2 linked regions of the Coturnix japonica genome follow. Each later gene encodes a partner of the first gene's protein in a complex. Links are inferred from orthologs where the notes say so. Each region holds a gene or a part of one and is shown on either strand. Other genes may lie near its edges. The genes, in order: RAB9A and NDE1.

Region 1 (4,479 bases):
GTAACAACATACACTTACTCCATCTATCGTTTTCTTCTTGAAGCATCTGACAACATTTATCACATTAACATAGAAAGAAAACCCATCTCCTGTTTTAGTTCACTAGGAGAGTGGTTAGGCCCTGGAACAGGCTGCCCAGGGAGGTTGTGGATGCCCCGTCCTTGGAGGTGTTCAAGGCCAGGTTGGACGGGACCCTGGGCAACCTGATCTAGTAAATGTGTATGTTTGGTGGCCCTGCCAGGCAGGGGGGTTGGAGCTACGTGATCCTTGAGGTCCCTTCCAACCCGGGTCATTCTGTGATTCTGTGATTCTATAACTCATTAAATACTGACAAATTGCTTCTCTGCAAAATGTCTGGAAAATTACAATAAAATAAAAAACCAACACAAAAACTTGCAGAGCTGCAAGGTCATGGTCAGAATCAAGAATGAAGTGCTGAAAACTAGGTTAACACTTGTTCTTTGTCCGATCCCTCAAATACTACAGCAGTTTTATCACCTTTTGCAGATCTAAAAGTCTCCAGAAAGCTGAAAAGAAAGCAACAGAAACAAACTTACTCCCTCTTCTCTCATTTAGCTACAGAATCCTTGTCCATGTACTTAAAGAGTACTGCCTTATTTACACTCCAGATAAGAAAGCAGTATAAGAACAATTTTCCAGTGGGTAAAGGGCCACAAAGCTTGCCTCACCTTGAAATGTTTTGCTTTAAAATTCAGAGAGGAACAGAGACGAAGTCTCCTCCAAGCTGTGCACTTCTCAATGCAATGCAGTTTTGACCACAACAGCCTTCAAACTGACCTTCCCCTCCAAAAAATACCCGTGTAAAACCTGTGGCTCAGAAATACCCTTTACAGTGGGGTTGTTGACATTTGACAGCAGCCCAATTCTCTGCAAAGCAGGCAGCCCTCCAGTCACATGGCCCGACCCACCGAGATCCCAATCACCCTGCAGGTCTTCCTTCCTTTATCTATGAGCAAACTACTGCAGTGTGATGGCAGCTTATGTTTTATGTCAGATAGATAACTTGATGACAAGAAAAAAAGTTCTTATCTGAAAACTGTCTCCAGTCTTCTGCAGCCTGGTCATAGTTTATCTAACATCAGAATAATCACAGAATGACCCGGGTTGGAAGGGACCTCAAGGATCATATAGTTCCAACCCCCCTGCCTGGCAGGGCCACCAAACATACACCTTTACTAGATCAGGTTACCCAGGGCCCCGTCCAACCTGGCCTTGAACACCTCCAAGGACGGGGCATCCACAACCTCCCAGGGCAGCCTGTTCCAGGGCCTAACCACTCTCCTAGTGAAGAACTTCCCCCTAACATCCAACCTAAATCTTCCCTCTTTTAACTTAAATCCATTTCCCCGTGTCCTGCTATTGTCAGCCCTTTTGAAGAGTTTACTCCCCTCCTGGGAGTAAGTTCCCTTCAGGTATTGAAAGGCTGCAATAACATTGAAGGTTATTCCTAATAATTGAACACAACACAAAATGGATTGACATTGAGCTGTCGTTACTCATTTACATGCCAAAAAGTTGTATTTTTCGTTTCTTTGTAAGGCTACTTGTAACTCCTGTGCAGTTCAGCAGTTGCCTGGAATGACACAAGACAATGGAAGAGGCAGCAGCCAAGAACAGGAATCCTTCAGCCTGCAAAACCCTTGGATCATGAAATCATCCCAGGCCTACTGCCAGAATCTCTTTAGTTACTGTAACTTACATCTAACCACAAAGTGGATCAGAAAAACATATCAGGAGAAACACCACATACGGACCCAGCCTCCACCTTCCACCTCATTACTCACTTCCAAGCTGAATGATCAAACTTAACAACACTGATTAAATTCAGAAAAAGAAAAAAAAGAAAAGAACAATTTTCAGAAACTCACAAGTAAGCATCTCCTAAGTACTTTAAGTACTATGTCATAATAATATCACTGACTTTCAGCCAGCTATAAAGCAACCTTCAGAGTAAGTTGGTCCAGCATCACTAGGAATTCACAGGATCACATTAACTGACCTGCAACCCAACTTGGTTACTGCTCCCTCTCTGTCAGTAGCTTACCAATCAGCTAAATACTATTTCTCATCTGTGCTCCTCTCGACAGTACATGACTCTCCCTTTTCCTTCTGAGATCCTTAGCAATAGCTGCCTCGGTCACTACCACAGAATCACAGAATGACCCGGGTTGGAAGGGACCTCAAGGATCATGTAGTTCCAACCCCCCTGCCTGGCAGGGCCACCAAACATACACATTTACTAGATCAGGATGCCCAGGGCCCCGTCCAACCTGGTCTTGAACACCTCCAAGGACGGGGCAACCGCATAAGCTGCTAACAAAACAAAGCAGACACACAAGAAAATCCCCCTAGAAGCCCATCACTCTCAACCACCCCACGCCGATAAACGGGAGACCAATGACAACAGCGGCCGTGTCGGTGCTGGGCCGCTTCCCAGGCGAGACGCCCGCAGTCACGGGATCCCGCTCACACCACCCGGTCCTCGCCGAGCCGGGCCCTCACCCACCGCCGCCGGGCACAGCCCGCAGCCCTCAGCCCGGCACTCACCAGAGTACAGCCACAACCGAACGGGTACAAGGGGAACAGCGAGACCCTCTGCACCCCAAAGCTGCCGGGGCAGGATCCGCACAACAAGCCGTCACCCACCCCGGACACCAGCCCCTACCGTGCCCTCCCCTCAGAGTCCCTCCGCACCCACCAAACAGCCACTACCTGCCCACGGATAGGAGCTGCCCACAGCACCGAGACACAGCTGCGCCGCCGGGCGCTGAGGGAAGGGAGAAACAACATGGCGGAACAGACGGGGGTGGGGGCGGGCCGGTGACGTGTGTCCCGCTTGGCTCTGCCCCCGGCAGGACAGGGGAGGGGAAGGGAGAGGAGGGGCGGTGAGACCCCGCCCTTCCAGGGGGTGCCCGCTGCCGTGGGTGGAGCAGGGGGAACCTGTCACTGGGGCAGCTCGGTGTGAAGGTCGAGTGGTTGTTTGAGAACATGACAGCAGGGAAGAAATCTAAAGAAATCGGCTACAGAGTATCTGTTACGCTCTTACAGCGTGTTATAGGAATGACGAAACGTGTAGAAATGTATTTAAGTGTATTTTGAAGAGGTCCCCGCATCATGAAGAGGAACGGGTGATTATAGGCTTAAGGGATGAGCCTTTGAAACACCACTTTGCCCCAGCAGCCGTCACATGCTTTCGATCACAAGGGTGAGGCAATCAGACTGGATCTGCCGCTTGCACAGTCATCTGGGGTTTGGATCAGATGTACTAAGGAATGGAAAACAAGATCTCTGTGTTATCGGAGGGAAATGCCTCCCACTGACAGCAGCACCCAGGCTAAAGGCAATGCGATGACACTACCGGCATTCTTACTTAACAAAGCTGGACTCTGAAAACGTTTAAAGACTTGTTTCCTGGGACCTGCTTTCATCTGCTTTTTTTCCCCCTCAGCTCCCCCTGCTACTGTTATTCATGTTTGGTACAAAAAGTGCTTGCTGTAGCACGCTGAGGAACCCCAGGAGCACTGCTGGTGATCATGGCACTCAAGGAAGACAGGCCTGTCACGCCTCAGCAGCAGGTTGAAGGAAATTACGCCTCAGCAGCAGGTTGAAGGAAATTACCACCTGAGATGTTGCGTGGCCATTTCACACCAAAATCACTCTGATTTCAGATCCGGATGGAAACATCGCTCCATAATGGCACCACAGGCCTAGCCCCCACCCCAGACCTGTGGCCCTGATTTGGCCTTGGCATGGCCTGTCCCTGTGGGCTGGCTGAATCCACTGGCTGGGCCTGCCTTGGCTGGATGCTGTGGGCCTTCTTCCTGAGGTCTCCATCCACATACCCTGCACTGCCAGCCCTGTAGCAGAATGAGGGTTGGTTTTATGCCAACATCTATCAACAGCAGAATGGCAAGCAGAGGACAGTGGGGGTTTTCATTCAAGGGAATGTTCTGCATCAGCAAAGCCCCCGTGCAGCACAGCTCGTGAATATTGCTTTTTACCATCCGTAATTGGCAAGGAGACTTTGTCCCATCCTGGCAAGTGATGACCTTGCTTCAATAAAACATGACTCTGTCACCTCCTGTCTGAATCAGGGCAATAAAAAATAAGGGGATATGAAGTCAGCTGCTTTTATTGCTCAGCTAATACCACACTGTGGCAAGCCAGGCCCCCCAAACAAGTATCAAAGTGCTCCTTATTTCCCAGACATTCAATGATCTGGGCCATTACACCCTGCGTACTCCTCAAAGGATCATAATTTAACATGTTTGTTCCTTATCAACAGTTAACAATGAGTAGCTAACCTCTTTTTGCTAGCATAGAACAAAACAAACAAAAATACAGTAAATGAACCTTTCCTTTTGTATGTACCATGGCAGTCTCAAATGAAATAAACAACAAAAGTGCACTGTTTCCCTTTTGTCTTAGAAAGGAAGGAAAAGTTCTAAACAACAAACG
Region 2 (3,809 bases), on another chromosome or scaffold:
TTTGATCACCAGACTGCTCTGAGTACTTGAAACTGTCCTCTGCAGCAGGGAGGAGCACAGGTTTGTCTTGGGAGATGCACCAGAAAATTGACTGCCTAAACCAGGTGGTTTTACAGAGAAGTACGTGTGAATATGGGTTATGATTTTTTTTTCCATAGGTGTAGAATTAGCTGGAAGAACTGTTGCCATGACCTGATTGACTCCCTATCCTCAATCTGCTGAGGTGTCCATTAAATTTGTAATGTCTTTGGAATCTTTGCCTCACTTAGGGTTGCCCTTGGCAAATTATCCAGAGCTTTATGACTGATATTTCTCCCTTGTCAAGACTACCTCATATAAAATGATACTTGCTAGTTACCTGTTTATTTGAGCACATTATGCACATCAGAAGGCATTTAATTATAGTACCTAATTAGATTTCAAGCAGGAGTTACCAACTTAAGGTGCTTAATTTCCACATGGCTCTTGTATGTGTCATTCCTTTTTGGGACTATGACGTGTACCTGTGCTTATGCTTGCACAAGGACTGCTGGCTGGTCTGGATTGCTCACTAGGTTGCTGCATCTATCTGTACATCTAGTCTAACCAGATGCTATCCCACTAGAACCTCTGTGGAGCTCTTAGCATCTTTTCCCTAGGAATTTCTGGTATTCCCTTCTCCCATGGCTCTCTGATGTATCCAAATATGTTGTGCCCATCAGCCACATCTGCATTCTGATATCTCAGGTTTTAAGTCAAGTAGTTTTTTTTACTGTAATGAGAGGTGTTTTTTGTTTTTTGTTTTTCTCATGTTCAGCAGGTATGTCCATAAGAATCTTAAGTGCTCCTGCAAGTGTTAACAGAGGAATCCTGAGTACCTTCGTGTCTCATGGAAGTTTCTTGTTCAGTGTTTCTCTAAGGCTGATGAAGTCAAACTGAATTTGGAGGTGCTTCTGAGATCTTTATCACCTGTGTTCTGTGTGCATTGGCGCAGCTGTAGCTGAAGTTTGACATTTGGCCTTCTGTACTGTGTAGTCAGAGGGAAGATGCTTGCTGTGGGCAATGTGGTGTGCAGCAACCTTGGGAAACCTGGAGAAAAGACTGTGTTGATTCAGTAGAGATTTTCATGTTTTTGTTCTATCCAGCAGAGTGCTGCTGAAGCTGGTCTTTAGTTTGGTCTCCAGACATGCACCACGTTCCTGGGAGGAGTGGTGCACCACTGTACATTGAAAAGTGAAATGAATAAAAAGTTAATTCACTGCATTAGTTCTTAACGCTTGATCCTTCAGTTTTCCAGGGCAAAAAATGAAATAAAGTGTTAAACTCTGAGGACTTACCATGGAAGACTCGGAAGAGCATCGCTTCAGCTCAGTTGAAGAGGAAGCCAGATACTGGAAAGAGTTGGCTGTGAAATACAAGCAGCGGTAAGGCAGTGGTTTCATTCCTTGAAGCAGTTTGATGGGATGTATAAGCAGTGCATGCCAAGATGAATAGCTGAACTACCTTGAATTTACCTCCCTGTGTGGCACTATGTTGAGCAGCTGCAGAAGCAGTGCAGCACCGCAGGTTTCAGCATAATCTACATCAGCCCAGAGTCCTTCATGCTTATTTGAGCAGTGAATTAGTGCTGCCATGGCACTGCTGCTTTTGGTCCCTTCTCTAGATTGAGTAGGACTATGTGTGTTGGAGAGGGCTTTCTGTGCTAGCAGGTAGTATTTTCTTCCTCCAGTGTACAAGAAATTGTTTTGATTCATGGGAGTGAATTCTGTTGCTGAACTGTGTTCTAGTGCTGAGAATACACAGGAGGAACTGCGTGAATTCCAAGAAGGGAGCCGAGAATATGAAGCTGAACTGGAAAGTCAGCTGCAGCAAACAGAGTCCAGAAACAGAGAGCTTCTTTCAGAAAACAATCGTTTGCGGATGGACCTGGAGTCTGCTAAGGTAACAGTGGATGATACCTACAGTAACTGTGTATCCTAAGCATGAAGGTAAATGAGACTGATGTGTGCAGATTCAGCTTGGAAAAATTGAGAAACGTCTATCTGTAATCTGCTTGGAAGAGTTCTAAATATCTCAGTGTTGTTCCTGAACCCCTATTAGCAATGTGGCTGTGTTTCAGTGTAGGTTTGAAACAGGAGAAAATTGTCTGTGGCAGAGTGGAGAGCACACATGAACAGAGCTGAGTGTATGTTTATCTCAGCTATTGTTTCCTTGAGTCTTTAATTTAACCTCTCTGGAATAAAGAGATGTTCTGTTCCACATCCCCAGCTTGGTGATTTCCACACCTCTAACCTCCAACCACAATCTTTTTGGCAATAAAAGCTCCGTGCCTGACTTAACTGCCTTTTTTCTGTCACACTGATCTTGGTTCTTGCTTTATCAGTGGCATAGCAATATTAAATGCTCTGCTTATTACATGGAGTATTGGCCTGTTCTGTCCCCTGTAGTCACATAAACCCATGGAAGTTGATGAGTGAGGAGGTCTATCCATTCAACAAAATCTTGCATTTCATTTGATTAAGGAGAGCATAGATTGCTTTCTTCTGCTGTGAGAGCTGAGAAAAAAGGGCAGTCAATGAGCTGAAGCAGTTGGGAATGAAAATAGTAGGAACTGGCATAAAACTTCTACAACACAGAGAGCAAACGTTTCAGAAAACCTTACTTAATTTTCACGGTAGATAAGTTTATAAAAACATATTCTGCTTGAAATGAACATTTTAACAATTGGTTATTCGTGCAGCCTGAAGATTGCAGTAACAGCCTGCAGTGAAGAAACAGAGGACCCATTGATGGTCATGTCAGCTGATGGTTTATTACAATTGGCTGAAAACAAAGGCTCAAACCTTGCAGTTCTGGTCTTTTATCTGAGTCAATTCAAGAGCAAAGCATTAAACTCATGAAGCTATTGAGCAGCAATGTTAACTGAACCCATCAAGGATTGGTGTCTACATCTAGGTTAACACAAGTGAACTTTATAAGGCCTGCACAGTTTGTAGCTTTGAGTTTACCTTCTTGCTACTCCTCTGAAACTGGAGTTCAAGCTACCTTGAGTATAAATGGAAATAATACTTTGGAAATGGAAATAATACTTTGGAAGGCTTATTTAAGAGTGTGAAAAGCTAGCTAAAAGTAATCTGCTTCTTAGAGCTTGTGGGGGATCTTAAAGCCAACGTGCACGTGTGCGTTCAGGGATCAGGAATTATGGCAACATGTCACCACACTTAACTAAGTAGAAATTAATGAATTCTAAATGGGTTTCTCTTTCCTTTGTCCTTGTCTGCGTGCTATATGCAAGCAGCTCTCTTCAGATTATCAGCTGTGATAAACTATGTGCCATGGTTTTCAAGTTCCAGTATGTGGATTTGTTTTCAGTGACTTCAAGTGTGTTAAATTCTAAACAGATAAGAATCTCAGAAATGTTATTCATCTAGCAATCTCACAGCTTCAGAAAAGTCTCTGGTATGTTGAACTGATCCAGTGGCAAGGTAGTGGAGTGTGATGCTTTTGCTGTCATGTGGTGCTAACTATGTCTGGAAGAGATAACTGGAGAGAAGTTTGTGCTGGTGAAGTTCAGCTCCTTCCTCTCTGGTGTCTCTTCTAAATATACTCTAAGTGCTTTAAAGGATTTTATTTTATTTTATTTTATTTTATTTTATTTTATTTTATTTTATTTTATTTTATTTTATTTTGCCTTTAAAGGGACTAAGAAAATACCAAGTCCCTGATATGCTGTTTTATTTGTCCTGGGCTAGGAAAAGTTTGAAATGCAGCATTCAGAATGGTACAGGCAAATCTCTGCCCTGGAAGATGACTTGGCACAGACAAAAGCT

Evidence for each region.
Region 2: the proteins of RAB9A (region 1) and NDE1 are in contact, whole or in part, in a crystal structure (PDB 7E1T), measured with the Homo sapiens proteins. The link is inferred for Coturnix japonica from reciprocal best matches to the Homo sapiens genes RAB9A and NDE1. Residues at the interface, in NP_001182257.1 of Homo sapiens: Ile40, Val42, Phe44, Asn46, Gln59, Trp61, Arg68, Phe69, Ser71, Leu72, Pro75, Phe76; in NP_001137451.1 of Homo sapiens: Asp99, Gln102, Thr103, Ala105, Ile106, Gln109, Leu110, Tyr113.

The regions. Positions count from the first base shown.
Region 1 is NC_029516.1:110,827,640-110,832,118, forward strand, and holds the start of RAB9A (ras-related protein Rab-9A), read right to left. Parts: upstream 2,858-4,479; 5' UTR 2,734-2,857; exon of another isoform or gene 2,720-2,733; intron 1-2,719. UniProt on the Homo sapiens protein: The small GTPases Rab are key regulators of intracellular membrane trafficking, from the formation of transport vesicles to their fusion with membranes.
Region 2 is NC_029529.1:7,390,961-7,394,769, forward strand, and holds part of NDE1 (nuclear distribution protein nudE homolog 1), read left to right. Parts: intron 1-1,268; 5' UTR 1,269-1,317; coding exon 1,318-1,403; intron 1,404-1,766; coding exon 1,767-1,920; intron 1,921-3,731; coding exon 3,732-3,809. UniProt on the Homo sapiens protein: Required for centrosome duplication and formation and function of the mitotic spindle. Essential for the development of the cerebral cortex.